Linked DNA regions of Rhinolophus ferrumequinum. The protein of the gene in region 2 purifies or fractionates together with the protein of the main gene of each other region. This does not show direct contact. Links are inferred from orthologs where the notes say so. Each region holds a gene or a part of one and is shown on either strand. Other genes may lie near its edges.

Region 1 (7,439 bases), on a different chromosome or scaffold from region 2:
TCTCCCTGCTCCACTTAGTCCTGGGGCAAACACAAAGGCTCACACCCAGCCCCCACCGCACACAAACCTTGAGTCTGTCCCCCAATGCATGGCATAGATTTTTGCCAGGTGCCCACGGAGGGTTCTCCGTGTCCTCATCTGGATTCTCCCCACTGGGTCCAGCCCAGCTGTGATCTAGAGGTAGAGGGAGAATGGGTCAGGGCGGGTCAGGAGGCAGGGCCCACTAAGCAGTATGCCTCAAACCGGAGCTCCTTTCCTAAGCCCCAAGCCCAGCCCTGGATTCATCTCACCTGGGTCAGTGTTGAATCCCCACATGCTTTTCGGGCATCCTACAAGAGATGGCAGAGTCAGTCAGAAAGAGGCAGGAGATAAGACCAGGAGGGGGAGAAGAAACGCAGGAGACAGGAGTGGAGAGGATAAGACAGTAAGGGGGTTTAGGTTACCCCTCACACACACAAAGAACCCCTCCCCCTGCCCAGCACACAGATGCCTGGCCCTGCCCACTCAGCCCTCCCAGCTCAGCCGGCCAGGCCCTCACCCGGATCTGGTTCCGGAGCTGCTCAGCCTCCTGTCTCAGTTGCTCCAGCTCACTCATGGCGCCAGGCCCGTGGGGCGGGGTTGGGGGCGGCTGGGGGCCGCGGGACGGGGGCTGGGGGAGGCAGCTCCTCGCCGCTGGCCCGAGGCCTGGGGGATGCAGGGCTGACGTCAGGCCCAAGGTCGCGGGGAAGAAGGGGGGCAAGGCGGGGTTGAATGCGGCCGGAAAGGGTGAGCACAGGGTAGAGGGGGGGAGGGGGCGGCTGCGGTGGCCGCAGCCCCTTTGCAGAACCCGGGGCCTCTGGCACAGAAAAGATGGGGCCTAGGAATAGCTGACTTCCCCAATCTTCCTCCCGCCCCCCGGAAACGGAGCGGGAAGTGCAAGAGGAAGCGCAGGGGAAACCCCTCCCTCGGACAGCAGCCCGGGCGGGACACCCGCGACAGGAACTGGGGGGGCAAGAGGGCGGGGAGAGTCCCTTCGAAAACAGACCTGGCGTCCGCCCCTGCCCGCACAGGCACCGCCCTCATAGCACCTCATTTTAAAAGGGGCGGTGCCTCTCTAAATTCACCCCCACACGTCGCACACCCTCCACACACACCCCCAAGCTTAGACTCAGGGGGGGAGACCAGAGGGGGAAGCTGAGATGTTCGTGGGGTTGCCTAGGCAACCGTCACCCGGACTGAGAGCACCTCATTGGTGAAGTGCCCCCACCCTAGCCCGGTTGCCAAGGCAACCACATCCACGGCAGAGACCTGTCGGGTGGGTGACCCCACCCCCGGCCCCATCGCCCCCGCCCGACCCAGCCTCCCGCTCCTCCCCAGAACCGGGTGACTGTTTACAGGATTTGGGAAAAGCCGATTGGGCACTAATAGGTTCGGGACGGCTCACCCTGGATAATCCCCAGACCGGCTGCGCCCCATTAGCCGCCCGCGCGGGGTGGAGGCGAGGGTGGCGGGGAGGACAGTCTCAAACCGCTGCTCCCTCCAGAGCCGAGGCCTCTCGCCCCAGCGCGCCGCGGAAAGCCCGTGGGAACCGCTCGCGAGTAATTAGGGCTCGGAAGAGAGGTTCCCGGCCCCAAGGCACGGAGCTGCTCTCTCCCCGGCGCCGGCGGACGGGCGAGAGGCGGCCCCAGACGGCCTGGCCCTGTGTCCTCGGCACCCCAGGAGCCCAGTCTGCGGGTTCGTCGCCGGGGCCCCAGGGGCCTGGCTGGCTCCGCTCCAGGGCTCGTAGTCCTGCCCCCCCCCCTTTGGACACCTGTGTGATCTGGCCATGCACACTGTACTCTGCCAACCCGGGCGTCCCCCACCCTGCTCCCACTTCCCCCAGGCCTGGGCGTTCCTCTTCCCCACGGACATTTTCCCGCTGTCAGTTCAGCTTTCTAAGCCAGCGCCAGGGGATGCCCCTCCGAAAAAGCGGGGAGGGGGCAAAGCCCTCCACCCCACCTTCTCAGCTCCAGACAAAGCCCCTTCCTTCCAGCTGTCAGCAGTCCCGGCCTGGCGGCAACGCCAAAGGCCCGGGGCAGAAGGAAGCTGGGGGCGGGGGCGACGCTCCCTCGCCCTCCAGGGTCCCCAGATTCTGGGCACAGAGCAGCCGGGGCTCCAAGGAGAAATGGGGGTGCCACCGCCTCCGCAGGTCTGGCGGGGCGAAGGGGAGGGGACTAGGGAGGGTCCTGGATCTGGCAGCTGGAAGGCGCGTACCGGTGCCGCGCTGCGAAGCGCAGTAAGCCTGGCCCTTCGGCCCCCACGACCTCCATTTTGCCCAAAAGAAATCTAGGCAAGGGGTGGGGGCGCCCTGGAGCTAGACTTGGGGTTAAGACTCGTAAAGGGAATGGGGTGCCGAGGACTCCCGTCCAGGGTAATGGGGCCAGAAAATACGGGCAGAACCCAAATCGAGGTTAGGATAGAGACGAAGGGAAGGGTGGCCTCGCGGCCTTGCCTGCTTCTCTGAGGATTCTAGAGTTTTGCAAGGCGAATACTGGCGGGAGTGCGAAATGGAAAGACACGAGGGGTGCTACCCAGGGGCAAACGGGGGTGGGGGGGCAGAAAGGGCCTAGAGAAAGCCCCGAATGTGCCCCCCAACTTCTCAGGGAGCAAGAGGCAGGCGAGGCCGGGATGGGATCTGAGGTCAGATAAAATGCGCCTGAAGGTGCAGGGAGCGCGTGCGTTATTGGGGATGAGGGTCCCCCAGTTCCCCTTCCGGGTTTAGAAGCGACGGGGCCGAAGGAAGGGAGGGGAGGTCTGGGGAGTTACGTCCGCTCCCAAGAGGCCAGATCGGGGAAACAGAAGAAAGAGAGGTTTCCCCTCAAGGGAATTTGGGGCTGGGGGAGATGAGGACTCCTTTTGTCACCGGAGGTACCTGTGGCGGTGGGACTCTGCGAAGGGTCGCTAGAGGAGCGCGGGAGGTCCTGTCTTCCTCCGCGGCGGAGGCGGCAGCGGCGGCGACGCGGATGGATTTCCTCAGTCACCCCAACTCAACAGTCCAGCGCTGCTCTCCCCAGAGCGGAGGGATCCCGCCCGCCAGTGACGCGGCCGTCGCCGCCGCGCCCAGGGCCCGGCAGGGCGAGACCAACTACCTAGTGGGGGGAGACCGGAAGGGAAAATACCACCTAAGGGGCAAAGACTGACTCTGTCAAAACGAAGATATTGCCCCACGCTATTTCGACGCAAAACGGACTAAAATTAATGCTTTGCTTCCCGAAAGGGAGTAAGACATTCCCCCTGGGACTGACAAAGGTGGTATCGGCATAAGGGAGGGTGAAACAGCTCTCTGGTCACGTGACCTACCCTCCCGGATTGGGTGGCTCCAGACTGGGAAGGGAAGCTCAACGCCCCAGTTCTCGGTTTGACCACGCCCCCACCCTGGTAAGACCACGCCCTTCAGGGGACGGAGTTTCAGAGATCCTGACCCTGGCAGGACTGGGTAGGAGGAGGCCTCCAGGAGGCGGAGGGAGAGGGCTGTGATTCTGGAAGTCCCTGAGCAGGAATGAATGGGGCCCACTGCCGGCTCTCGGGAACGTGGGACTGCCTTGAAAAGGGTCTTGCCCAGGCAGTTTCCCACCAAAAGTGGGATTTTGTAGAACTCTTTACAGATCTGCATGACACTGTAATAATAACTCATACTTGTGGAATCCTCACGACAATACTGTGACATGAACCAAGGCAGCTTTAGCGACTTCACTGTGCAATGAATAACAAACAGTCTAGACTCTTGATGAAACCTCCTGTGGGCCATCTCTGTAAAGGGATGAAAATGTAAGTACCTGTATAGGCCTGTTTCCACCTCTGTAAAATGAGAATGTTGACCTGTCCAAGTCACGTTGGATTGTTATGATTCCCCACGGATTGTAAAAATGCTTTGGAAAGTTTAAATCAGTGAATAACCTTCACTGAGTCCTCATGCAATTTAAAAGTAAAGTATCAAAACAGACACTTTTCATTTAGCCTCTGTTAAAGCATTACAAATAGTTCCCTAAGCACAATTTTTTAAAGAAAGTAAGAAAAAATATTGTATGTCAACTGTATTAGAGAAATAAAATTTTAAAAATGCTGGAAGTATAAAAAAAAAAGAAAAGAAAAAGTCACATTCTTAGTTATGTCCAAATTCCATTTATGTGCACTTACCAATTCAGTGTTATATTAACAGTAGATAATAGATGTCAATTAGATGTTAGAACTTGGAAGGAACCTTATAGATAATATACTTCGATTTCCTCTCAATCTACAGATGGGCAGAGTGACTTCCCTAACGTCACTTAGAAAACTATCAGCCTAGGACTAGAACCCAATTTTGTTCATCTCTATAGGGCATCTGACTGCTTCCTTTCACTTTGGTTTCTGTGCTAATAGGCTTTCCTGTTTTAACTCATCCAGCAAATATTTATCAGATCCGTGTTCTATCAGGCACTGTCCTGGGTGCTGAGGATGCAAACGTGAACACATGCACCCTGGTCTGCCTGCTGGGAGCTTACAGTTTACAGGGGAAAGAGATGGTAGATGATTATTGAAATAACAATTAGTACTGGTGTCCTGGAAGTGCCACTTACTGAGAGCAGAACATTTGGGAGGGACACCATCAGTTTTAAGTTGGGATGCGTTAGGTTTGAGGTCCTAGGAGAGGTGCAAGGAAGTATGTTCAGTAGGTGGCTGTCCAAGCAGGTCTGGGGCTCAGCAGCAGAGTCTGGGTTGGATTAGAGCCTTGAGAGTGAGTGGCGTTTTACAGCAGATGAAATCATAAAGAGGTGCAGGGAAAGGACAAGATGGCCTAAGACCAAGCTCTGAGGAGCTCCAACATTTAGAGGTCAAGCAGAGGCAGACAAGCTGCCAAAGGAGAAGCCAGAAAGCTAAGAAGAAAATCAGGAAAATGTGGAGATCCGGAATCCAAAAGAAAAGAGTGTTCCAAAACGTGAATGGTAAATTGTATTGAATGCTGCAGAGAGATGAAGCAAGACTAGACTGAGAAGTGCGCATAGGATTGAGTAACGTGGAGGCCACTGGTGACTTTGCTGGAACATTTGCAATGGATGCTCTGCTTGCAGTGGGCTGAGGGTGAGTGAGAAATGAGGCAGTGGAGACAAAGTGGCCAAGGCTTTGGGAATCTTGGCTTGGAGGGGGTGTAGAAAGGGGCGGCATCAGTGGAAGGAGAATGTGGTATTGTTGTATTTGTTTTTGATGGTAGCTACTGGAGTTTGTTTAGATGATAATGGGAATGACAGGTGGTATGGGGTGGGTGGAGGGAGAGGTGAAGGATACGGACAGGTAGGGGATGACCAGTGGATGACAAATTTCTCTGAGAAGTCAGAAGCCCTGGAGCACCTGGAAGAACCTGGCTCTGACAGGTAATGGGACACTTCCTCCTTCCTCTGACTGTTCTTTCTCAGGCTTCTCCTTGACCTTCTTCTCCACGGGGCATTCTGTAAACATTGTTTTTCCCAGGATCCTGACTTCAGTCTCCTCTTCTCACTCTCCATGTTATTCACTGGTGACTTCATCCATTACTGTGTCTTTAACTACCCCCTAATTGCTCATAACTCTCAAACCTCTATCTTCAGCCCAGATGTCTTTCCCCATGTGCAGACTTGGTATATGTCCAACTGCAGACTGAATATCTCCATCTGGATGCTCATAGACAGTGGTGTGCTGGAGTCAGCTTGTGCCAGCTCAGGCCAGCTCACAAGAGCCCATTGTGTACCTCTCTTCCACACTCCTTGTTCAGTGAAGTCATGTAGACAGTAGTAACTTGTAATCATCATGGTGGGTGTATTTACATCATGGAAATTGGCAAGTGTTTCAGATCAGGGCTCCCCTTTCCAAAAGAACTGGTTGTTAAAACATTTACTACACACCACTGTTCTCAGACATTTCATACTCAACATATTCAAAACTAAATTAATCTTCTACTCCATCCCACTCTACCCAACCCTACCCCATTTCTGTATCTCTTGGCCCAATTAACAGCACCATCATCCATCCAGGAGCTTCTCACTTCTTTATTGAGCATATCCAAAGGATGGTCAACTAATTAATACAGCCCAAGCTGCTATAACAAAGAGTCCCAAAAATTCAATGGCTTAAGTGATAACCCCAAAATAGATCCTCCAGATCTGGGGGGGGCGTCTCTGCCATTCTCAAAATGTAGCTTCCATCTCTGTGTCCAATGTGGCACAAGCAGCTTCCACTATTATATCTGAATCTCATCCATTGAGAAGGAGGTTGGGGTGGGAAGCACAAGTATATTGCTGTTTAAGGACACCACTAACTTCTGCTCAGAAGTTGGCCAGGTGCAAGGAAGGCTGGGAAATGTAGTCTCTAGTCATATACCCAGCTAAAACATTATTAAGAATTGAAGAAGGGAGATGGCTATTGATGTAAGGCTAGCAGTCTATGTCACTGGTGGATACATCTTATCAAGTCTACCTCTTGTATATTGCTTAAATCCATCCCTTCTACTGTATACCAACTCCTGTCACCTTGATTCTCGCCTATTTCCTGGCTTCTAGGGTAGTCCCTCTCCAATCAACCTGTCAAATAGCTGCCAGAAATATCTTTCTAAAATGCAAATTGGATCGTATAACTTTACTGTTCAAAACCATGCAGTCGTTACCCATCAATTCCATGAGAAGGGCCAAACTTCTTTGCATGTCACACAGGCTGGGTCTTGTTTATGCTACTCAAACCGACTTCCACCCTCACTCTAACTCTACTTCCTTGTCAGCCATGAAAATTCAGGTCATTTTCTCAGGCTTAGTTTCAGTATTGTCTCCCTGACCACACTGTTGTTTGTGCCCCACTGCAATGCTGGCTCCATTCCTATTGCAGCCTTGCTGGACTGTTTATTTCTGGGCACTAGCCACCTGTACTAGGCTAGGGGTTCCCTGTGAAGCCAAAGCACTTGGTTTATCTGGCAGAGGGCTGGGGGAGAACTCTCCAAGAAATGAGCAGACTCGCACAAGATGCCAAGTCATTTCCAAAGTGTGGGGTCTGAGGGTCCTGGCCCTACCACTTTTGACGTCATTACCAAGTGCTCAGGTTTGGCCAACCTGGATGCGGGCCTGGAATGTGAGAACTTCCTGATGACTTTATTGAATTGTTTATTCATTTATCTTCCAGGATAGACATTAAACTGGACAAGAGTCTCATCAAGTTATATGAACCATTTTATTCCCAGTGTCTATCAGGCACTTAGAGAACATCTATGAAATGACTGTAAGTATAGCAACATTACCCCCAGGATCAATAGTTTTCTCAGTTCAAATATCACTTACCAGCTGAGTGATCTTGGGCAAATCACTTAACCCATCCATGCCTCTGTTCCCCCTGCAAAATGGGGGTAATGATCGGGTCATTATGAGGACTAAATTACTTAATATTTGTAAAGCATTTATAACAGTGCCTGGCATATAGTAGAT
Region 2 (7,688 bases):
ACAGTAAGAGAGACTCAGGACATCAGGGAAAGCAAATCTGCAGCCCGAAGAAGTGAGTACAAGGGGAGGGAGAGACACCCCTGCTCAAAAAGTCAAGCTTAGGATTGACCCTACCTCCCTCTTGAGGACCTCTTGGGGCATAAAGGGTGAATAGTAAGAAGGAGAGAGGAAGGCAATACTGGCTGGCGGAGGTCTCAAATTTAAAACCAACCAACCAATGTCAGGCCCCCTCTTCAGACCTTCTAAACCAGAATCCCCTGGGAACGAGGCTGATGACTCTATGCCTTTAAAAGCTCCCTACATAACTCTTGTGCTCCTTGTTTAGCTCCAGTCTGCAGGTGGGTGTTTGGGAACCAATGATCTGGTCCATTTTACACATAAGGAAATTGAGGCCCAGAAGAGAGTGACCTCATTCATTCATTCCCTCCAGTAGCTTTCCAGTACATGGGGAATAAATCCAAACTTCTAACCATGGCCTATGTAGGACCCCGCAAGACTGGATCCTGCTTTTCTCTTCACCCTCATCCTCTACCACTCCCCCTGTCACTTACTTCCCTCCAACCACATTGGCCGTTGGGTTTTTGTTCCTGATCAAGCTAAGATCGTTTCTACCTCAGGGCATTTGCACTTGCTGTACTTGTTTCTAGAATCCTTCGTAAGTCTCAGCTCCTCAGAGACACCTTCCCTCACCACCCTACAATTTACCCCAGCCCACTTCTGTATTGACTCTCTAACACATTTACCCTGTTCGCTTTTCTTCAAAGCTCTTAGCACTATCAGCAATTATTTATCTATTTACTTTATTATCTACACACACACACTAAAATGTAAGCACAGTGAGGGCAGGGAGCCTGTGTGTTGTATTCTGGATCCCATCCTGGAAGAGTGCCCCCCCCACACAGATGATACTTAATAAATATGTGTTTGTAAGTTAATTAATGGATTGGATGCAAACCCAAATACTTGCTGGGCATCTTCCCATTGCATGCCAGATACTGTGCCAAGGGCTGGGCAGTGTCACACTGCCAGTCAGTGGTGGAGGGGTGGGCAGGGAGTGGCTGAAGGCAGAAGTTTTTTTTCAGTCCCAGATCAGACCATGTGAGCTGGGACAAAACTTCTCTGGTCATTTGGTTCCTCAGGCAGCTTCCTCATCTCTGGTGGGGTCATGAAATTGCTGCACTCTAACCTCTACCTTTCTCTAGAAGGGTAAGGGGTAAGGCCAGGGCAACCCTGCAGGAAGGCCAGTGGACTGACAAGCAAGGTGGCACCATGGGGGCTCCTTGCTAACAACACTCAAGGCCAGTCAGTGAAGAAGAGACGTGGAACCTATCAGAGCAGGGTACCCAGAGAAACCTGGGTGCCTCCAAAGTAGCCTGAGCCAGGCTAGAGCCAAAGGGCAGACCCAGAATCTTCTGAGCTGACCCTCCCCTGTTACTCCTCCTTTCCTTTCTATTCCACCAGCAGTTAAGAGGTGCTCATTTGCATGCAATTTACATTTCATCGCATGTGTAACCAAGTGCCTTAAAAAGGCAAACCATCAACCCAGGATGTTAAAACCAGAAAGGATAGCAGGTCTTGTTCTAGTTCAAGACCTTCCTTTGGAAGGTGAGGAAATGAAGGCCCGATGGAGCATTTGATCTCCACCCATATTTCTCAGCTCAACTCTCCTATACTGTTCCCACTTGGACTGGCATGTGGAATTCATCACTGGATTTACCTATCAACTCAAATAGGAAAACTGTCTGGTTGGGCCCAGCTCTGGGAGGCAAGATCCCTTTTGGTCTTGGACCAAAGTTAAGTCTGGAGATCAAAGGTTTGGGATCCATCTTCATGGTTGACTGCTTATTTATCATGCAAATTACTCTGTTTGTAAACTCAATGGACCCTGACCAAGAACTCTGCTGTTGACCCTAGCCTGCCCTCTACCATTGCCCAAGGGTTTCCTGACACCTGGTTGGGGTGGAGGAAAGGGGTGGTGGAAATGTGGAAGGCCTGGGAACCAGGCCCTGTGAAAGAGCAGTGCTGAGAAGTCGCCTAAACCCTTCCTAGGGATTTGCTCCCCAAAGATCCTCAGAGAGGCCAGGAAAGGTCACTGGTTGTGTGGTCTAGTAGTGTTCTGCATGAAGGAAGCAGGAGTCCAGGGATTCTGACCTGGCTCAGAGCTTCGTATGCCCTGGGTGTTTTGCAAGGGCTACTTCACCTCCCTAGAATTGACTTTTGTTATCTATATGTATCTCTCATTCTTCTGATGAATGGTGATCATCGTAATAAGAATAATAATGGCAACAGCTACCATTTATCCTTGCCTTCTTAAGGGGCAGACACTGGGCTAAATGCTTCAATACGTTATCACACTTAACCCATGTGACCCCTGTGAAGGAAGGTATAAGAATAGAGGGGAAACTTGCCACAGGTCCTGTAGTTGTTAGATGACAAAGTTGGAAATTGGATTCAGGTCTTTGTGCCCTCAAATCCTGTGTGCACACTGTGTGCAAATGAGAACCCACCCGGAAGTGCTTTGGACATGCAGAAGTTATTGAAGGACTGGGAAGGAGCGCTTCCATTCTTGTGGACGAGAGTGCCTGCCAATGCTATGAGAATGGAGCTGGCTTATAAGCCGTGTTCCATCTCATCTACAAGTTGGTCATTTCATATCTACACAGACAGAAATTGTACCCTGGGTAGCATTTTCAACTAGAGGTTTGGTGGGTGTGCTCTGGAGTCAAAATTACGGGTTCAAATCCAGGTTCTGCCACTAGCTTGGAGACCTTGGGAAAGTAAGTTAACCTTTCTTAACCTCAGCCTCCAGGTTGTGAAATGGGAGTGGTTCTCATCTCACAGGACAGGGGTGAGGATGAAAGGAGGCACCTGCCTAAAGTAAGGGAGCAGAGCTTTTGAACTGTTGTTATCATTGATTCTCTTTAATCTGCCATTTTCCCATAAACACTTGCTCCTCTTATTTATTTATTTTTTTCAACACTCCTACTGATCTAGGAGGTCCCTGTGCCTCTTCCCACCGTTTGGTTAGAATAGTTAGAAAAGTAAAGTTTTGCCCAAGGGATAAAAAGGTTATCCTGTAGCTCTTAAGGGTGCAGAGGAAACTGAGGGCAAGAGTCATAAAGCATGTCAGGGAGGCAGGAAGGTGGAGAGGAGAGAGCTCGGTTTCAAAAGTCAGAAGGCCTGGGCTGATGCCTGACTCTACTGTTTCCAAGCTGTGTGACCTTGGGCAAGTCACCTCACCTCCCGGTGCTGCTATTTCCTCATCAATAAAATAGGAATAATAATATTTGCCTCACAACGTGCTTGTGAGGATTAATGAACGAACAGAGGTGCTCAGTTGGTATTACGTTTTTCTCGTCCCTCTTTCCTTGATTCAAGAATCCATCCACATGCTCAGTCCTGGGACAACCACGCAAATTAGAAAACTGTTCTAAAATGCCAATATCCTGGTCTTTCATTGGTAGCCTGCTTCCAGCAGTCAGGTTCTCCATCCCCTCCACCCCCATTCCAGACCCCCTCTCTTTAACCCACACTAGTCTGATGTCTCTCCACTCTCCCTCTCTTTCTCTACACGTTCACTACAATGTTTGGGAAGTTCTGAAGCCTTACCTAGAGCCAGCCTGAAAATGAAATGATGGCACCACCATCTGTGTGAGGACGAGGCTTTGGGCCTGAGGATTTGCATGAGAGGCTGGGAAGGAAGGAGATGGACCTAGGGTGAGGCCTGACAACGGGATGGAATAGCACGCCCTGCCCAAACAGCTCTGAGGCTTTGGGACAGAGTAGGGGCACAGTGGGGGCGTGGGTAGCAGGAGGTCTCCGGGGACTGGGTTGACGCTGAGGCCTGGAGGGGGAGGATTTCTCCGCCAAAGCCCAGGACAAACACCTGTCAGAATGGCTCCCACAGCCTCACGCTGGAGATGGGCTCTGGGCCCCTGGAGGGGCTGGGGTGACGTGACGGGGCCTGTACAGGCTCTGCCTACCTGCACATAGTTGTCCTCGCAGTAATCGGCCACTCGCAACAGGGCGCTGTGGTTGCTCCGCAGAGCCTCCCGGCCCGTGGGGATCTCAAACTCCTGCAGCTGCTGCAGCTCCTCCATCGCCCCCAGCCTCTGACAGGCTCCCCAGGGAGCTGCTGGTTTTGTGCCTCACCCTGCCCTTGATTGGTTGCCCTGCCTTACCCTCCCTCTTGCTGCTTTTGGTTTCCTCTTCGTGAGAGACCCAAACCTGCTTGCAAAGGGCAGTCATGCTCATTCCGGGACAAGAGGAAGTTAGTCCCTGCTCCCTAGGCCTGTGCCTCTCTGTCCCCTGCCCAAAGGAAGGGGGAAGCCAGTTGCCCCTTTGGGGGCCCAGCCCCCCAATCTCTCCCAACAGAGGAAGCTAAGGTCTGGGCAGTTGTGATTGCTCCCTGGGCCTGGAGAGGAAATGTTTGGCGGGGGGGTGGGGTGGGAGACAGAGGAGGAAGGGGGCTGGCCTGCTGGGGGGGGGGGTGGAGGTGGATTTTCCACTCATGGAAAAGGAGGAAAGGGCAGAGGGTGGGGGCTTCCTTGGGAAGCCCAGGGATGAGTCACCAAGGGACAGGAGACTGGAGGGAGGAAAGGATATGGAGACCAGTCAGGCTTGGGGCTGCGGAGTAAGGGAGTAGCAACAATGGAAAACAGACAATGCCGCAGCAAGAAGAACCCGGCCGATACCAGGAAGATGCAGCCAGAGGACCCCTGAGAAGTGTTATCAAGCCTCTGAAGCGTTCCGTGTGGTGACGATCTGGTGTACAAGCTCTGTGCCCGATGGAGGCAGGACAAGGTGAAATGGACCGAGTGTATTGTGAGAGACTCAGACTAGACGACAGGAAGGACTTGGCTTTGAGAAGCAGCAGGTTCAGTTTCCAGATGAACTGGTCAGGTTGAGGAAGCAGCGGTGTACGATAGAGCACTGAGCTGGCCTTAGGAGGTAGGTGCTCTATTTCCTGCATTCACAGGGGAGCTGGACTGGATGACCTCCAGGGTCCTGTCCTGATCTCAAATTCTTAGAGCTCACAGTGGTGAGTGGGACTCAGATCCCGGAGCATGGGAAGTTAGGGTGGACTCAGGGCCCTCCCACTGCCGTCTGTCATCACAGAGGCAGGAGAAAAAGAGGATCGCTCAGTGACCATATCGGTCCCTTAACACCAGCTCCTTGAGAGGGTCCCCTTGTCATTGGACAGGCATCCGCTTGCACAGGAGCTCAGTGTCTGTCATCGTGGGTGGTCCTGGGAGGACAGCAAGAGAAAGATCAGGATAGAGGCCCTGAGCTGGAGGACTGCTGAGGGAGACCCACGCCCTGGAGCCTGAGGGAGGCGTGGAGGCAAAGAAGCACGGACACAGGCGTGAGAGGTGGCCATGGCCCCAAGTGCTAAATAGCACAGCAGCCTGTGTGAGTACATTTTTATTGGATGAGTGAGTGAAGAGTGAGCTGGGAAAACCTTGCAAGGTGAAATTGTGGGGCTCCAATGGGGGGCACAAAGGCTTATTGGTGAGGGAAGTTAGGAGATGGTCTAGGACTTGCCTCGTTGGGAAGAATAGCCTCAGCGCCCCCTCAGAGGTACGGGAGGGAAGGGCTTGGGACAGAAGGGGGGGAGCATGTAGGGCTAGAGGGGGTGAGAAGTGGGGAAATAGGCTCTAAGCCGGGAGGATCACTAAAGGAGTGGGGCTGATGCAGGGGGCAGGGGGTCTGCTCTGGTGGCAGGGACGGCTTGGAGGCGCAGGCCGAGGATGGGCTTAGAACCACGAGCCTGTGATCCGCTTAGGCGGCAGAGATTTGGGCTTCCAGACCATCTGCTTCATCCAAAGACTTTCAGCTGATGAGGAGCTGGGATACTCAAACATCATCTTGTCTGAGTCGGGGACTTGAAGTGCACGCTTTTTCTTGGCAGGTGAGAGGGGCTGAGGCTGTACTGAGCTGGATATAGTCTTAGAATTATGGAGGTTAGGTATCCGACAGGACTTCCTGATAACCATGTAGTGAAGCTATTGGTGATGATGGTGGTGTTAGGTGTTCACTATGTGCCAGGCAGTGTATTAAAACATGTTACTCGTATAATCATTAGTTTTTAGTACTCACAATAAACGTATAAAGTAGGTACTATTATTATAATGCCCATTTTGCTGATGGGGAAACTAAGACTCCAGGAGGTTGAGTGACTTGCCTCAAGCCACACAGCTTGGAAACAGCAGAGCCGGGATTGGAGCTAGAGTCTGACAGGCTCCAGAGCTCTTTTCTTAACCATTAGGGTACACTCTCCCTTGACAGGACCTGGGATTTTCTGAAAACTTCTATCTGTGTTGTATGTGGAACACTAACTTTGCTTCCCAAATCTTCCCCACTGAAAGAAACTCCTTTTGTCTCTCTTCTCCATGCTCTGATTCCTGTTTCCTCCACACACAGGTTCTTATCCGAGGGCAGAGTTGGTGCCACCCGCATCAGACTGGAAGTGTCCTCTCTTCCTGAGCTTAGACTCATGACAGAGGTGGGATGGGGAGGAGCAGGGGATAGATGATGAGCAATGAGGGCCTGAAATGAGGGACAAGGCAGAGATGAGGGTAGACGTTGAGGTGTGGAGAGCGCAGAGGAGGGAGCTGGGGAGTCCAGGAGATTTGCCATTCTGGCTGTGGAATCCTTTCCAGGACCAGGTCTCTCCAGGGCAGGATGGCCCAGGAGCTCAGCGAGAAGGAGCTATTGAGGATGGAGGTGGAACAGCTGAAGAAGGAAGTGAGGAACCCAAGAGCCCCGGTGAGCCTCCTCTTCCCTTTCTCATCCCTTCCTGTTCCTTATGGAGCCGGACAGGAAAAACAACGGGGTGGGGGGACCATGTCAGGGCACTAGAAGGAGCAGGAGGTGCCTCTGGGATGGGGTAGGATGTGGAAGGAGGCTGGGGTTTGACCCCACGGAGGTGCACAGGAGAGAACCTTTGCACCTGGCGGGCTCAGCGTGTCCAGCCCTGTCTAGGCCTGGGCCTGGCCCAGTGTCCCTCGCAGGTAAGAATCAGACTTTGTGGTTCTGGGCAAGGAACTCACACTCCTCTCACACCTGCCTGTCCCTTTCGTCTTTCTCCTCTCTGGCCGCCATCTCCATCCTGTCCAGAAGCCTGTTTTCTTGGGACTGACCAAGTCATGGATCCTAAACAACAAACAAGGGCTGGAACCATACTTCATTTTTTCACAGATTTCTAAGACGGGAAAAGAAATCAAGGATTATGTGGAGGCCCAAGCAGGAAACGACCCTCTTCTCAAAGGCATCCCCGAGGACAAGAATCCCTTCAAGGAGAAAGGCGCTTGTATGATAAGCTGATGGCACCGGAGCCCGTCACCCTGAATGTCTGTCCCTCCTTAGCCCCACTCCTCACCCAGAACCAAGTGTCCTGGGACTCCCAGAGAACCAGTAAATTTCCTCCTTCTCTTAAGTCACAAAATGAGTAGGTAAAGGTGTCTGGCTGTATGCACTGTGAATTCATTCCCCGACCCCACTTTCAACTCTTTTCTCTCCACTGTCTCCTCCACCTGCTGGGTCCCTGTTGACCCCGCTTGGAAACACTGGGATCTTTCCTAGCTTTGCAGTTGGCCCCATGCGTGGTGGGTTCTGAAGAGCCTGCGATACCCTGAGATCCCAGAGGGCAGACTTAGGAGACATTTGTGCCTCCTTAGAACCCCTCC

What was found. The genes of interacting proteins can lie anywhere in the genome.
Region 1: the proteins of GNGT2 (region 2) and GNB2 purify together in Homo sapiens (affinity purification with western blotting; 3 studies listed by BioGRID and IntAct, with this or other methods). This does not show direct contact. The link is inferred for Rhinolophus ferrumequinum from reciprocal best matches to the Homo sapiens genes GNGT2 and GNB2.

Annotation. Positions count from the first base shown.
Region 1 is NC_046290.1:90,949,931-90,957,369, reverse strand, and holds the start of GNB2 (guanine nucleotide-binding protein G(I)/G(S)/G(T) subunit beta-2), read right to left. Parts: upstream 3,058-7,439; 5' UTR 2,891-3,057; intron 685-2,890; 5' UTR 596-684; coding exon 539-595; intron 330-538; coding exon 291-329; intron 175-290; coding exon 68-174; intron 1-67. UniProt on the Homo sapiens protein: Guanine nucleotide-binding proteins (G proteins) are involved as a modulator or transducer in various transmembrane signaling systems.
Region 2 is NC_046304.1:34,068,205-34,075,892, forward strand, and holds the start of GNGT2 (guanine nucleotide-binding protein G(I)/G(S)/G(O) subunit gamma-T2), read left to right. Parts: upstream 1-4,600; 5' UTR 4,601-4,803; exon of another isoform or gene 4,804-4,950; intron 4,951-5,203; exon of another isoform or gene 5,204-5,412; intron 5,413-5,785; exon of another isoform or gene 5,786-5,911; intron 5,912-6,662; 5' UTR 6,663-6,684; coding exon 6,685-6,768; intron 6,769-7,052; coding exon of another isoform or gene 7,053-7,190; exon of another isoform or gene 7,191-7,200; coding exon 7,201-7,326; 3' UTR 7,327-7,688. Other genes in the region: ABI3 (ABI gene family member 3), read right to left, coding at 7,053-7,190. UniProt on the Homo sapiens protein: Guanine nucleotide-binding proteins (G proteins) are involved as a modulator or transducer in various transmembrane signaling systems.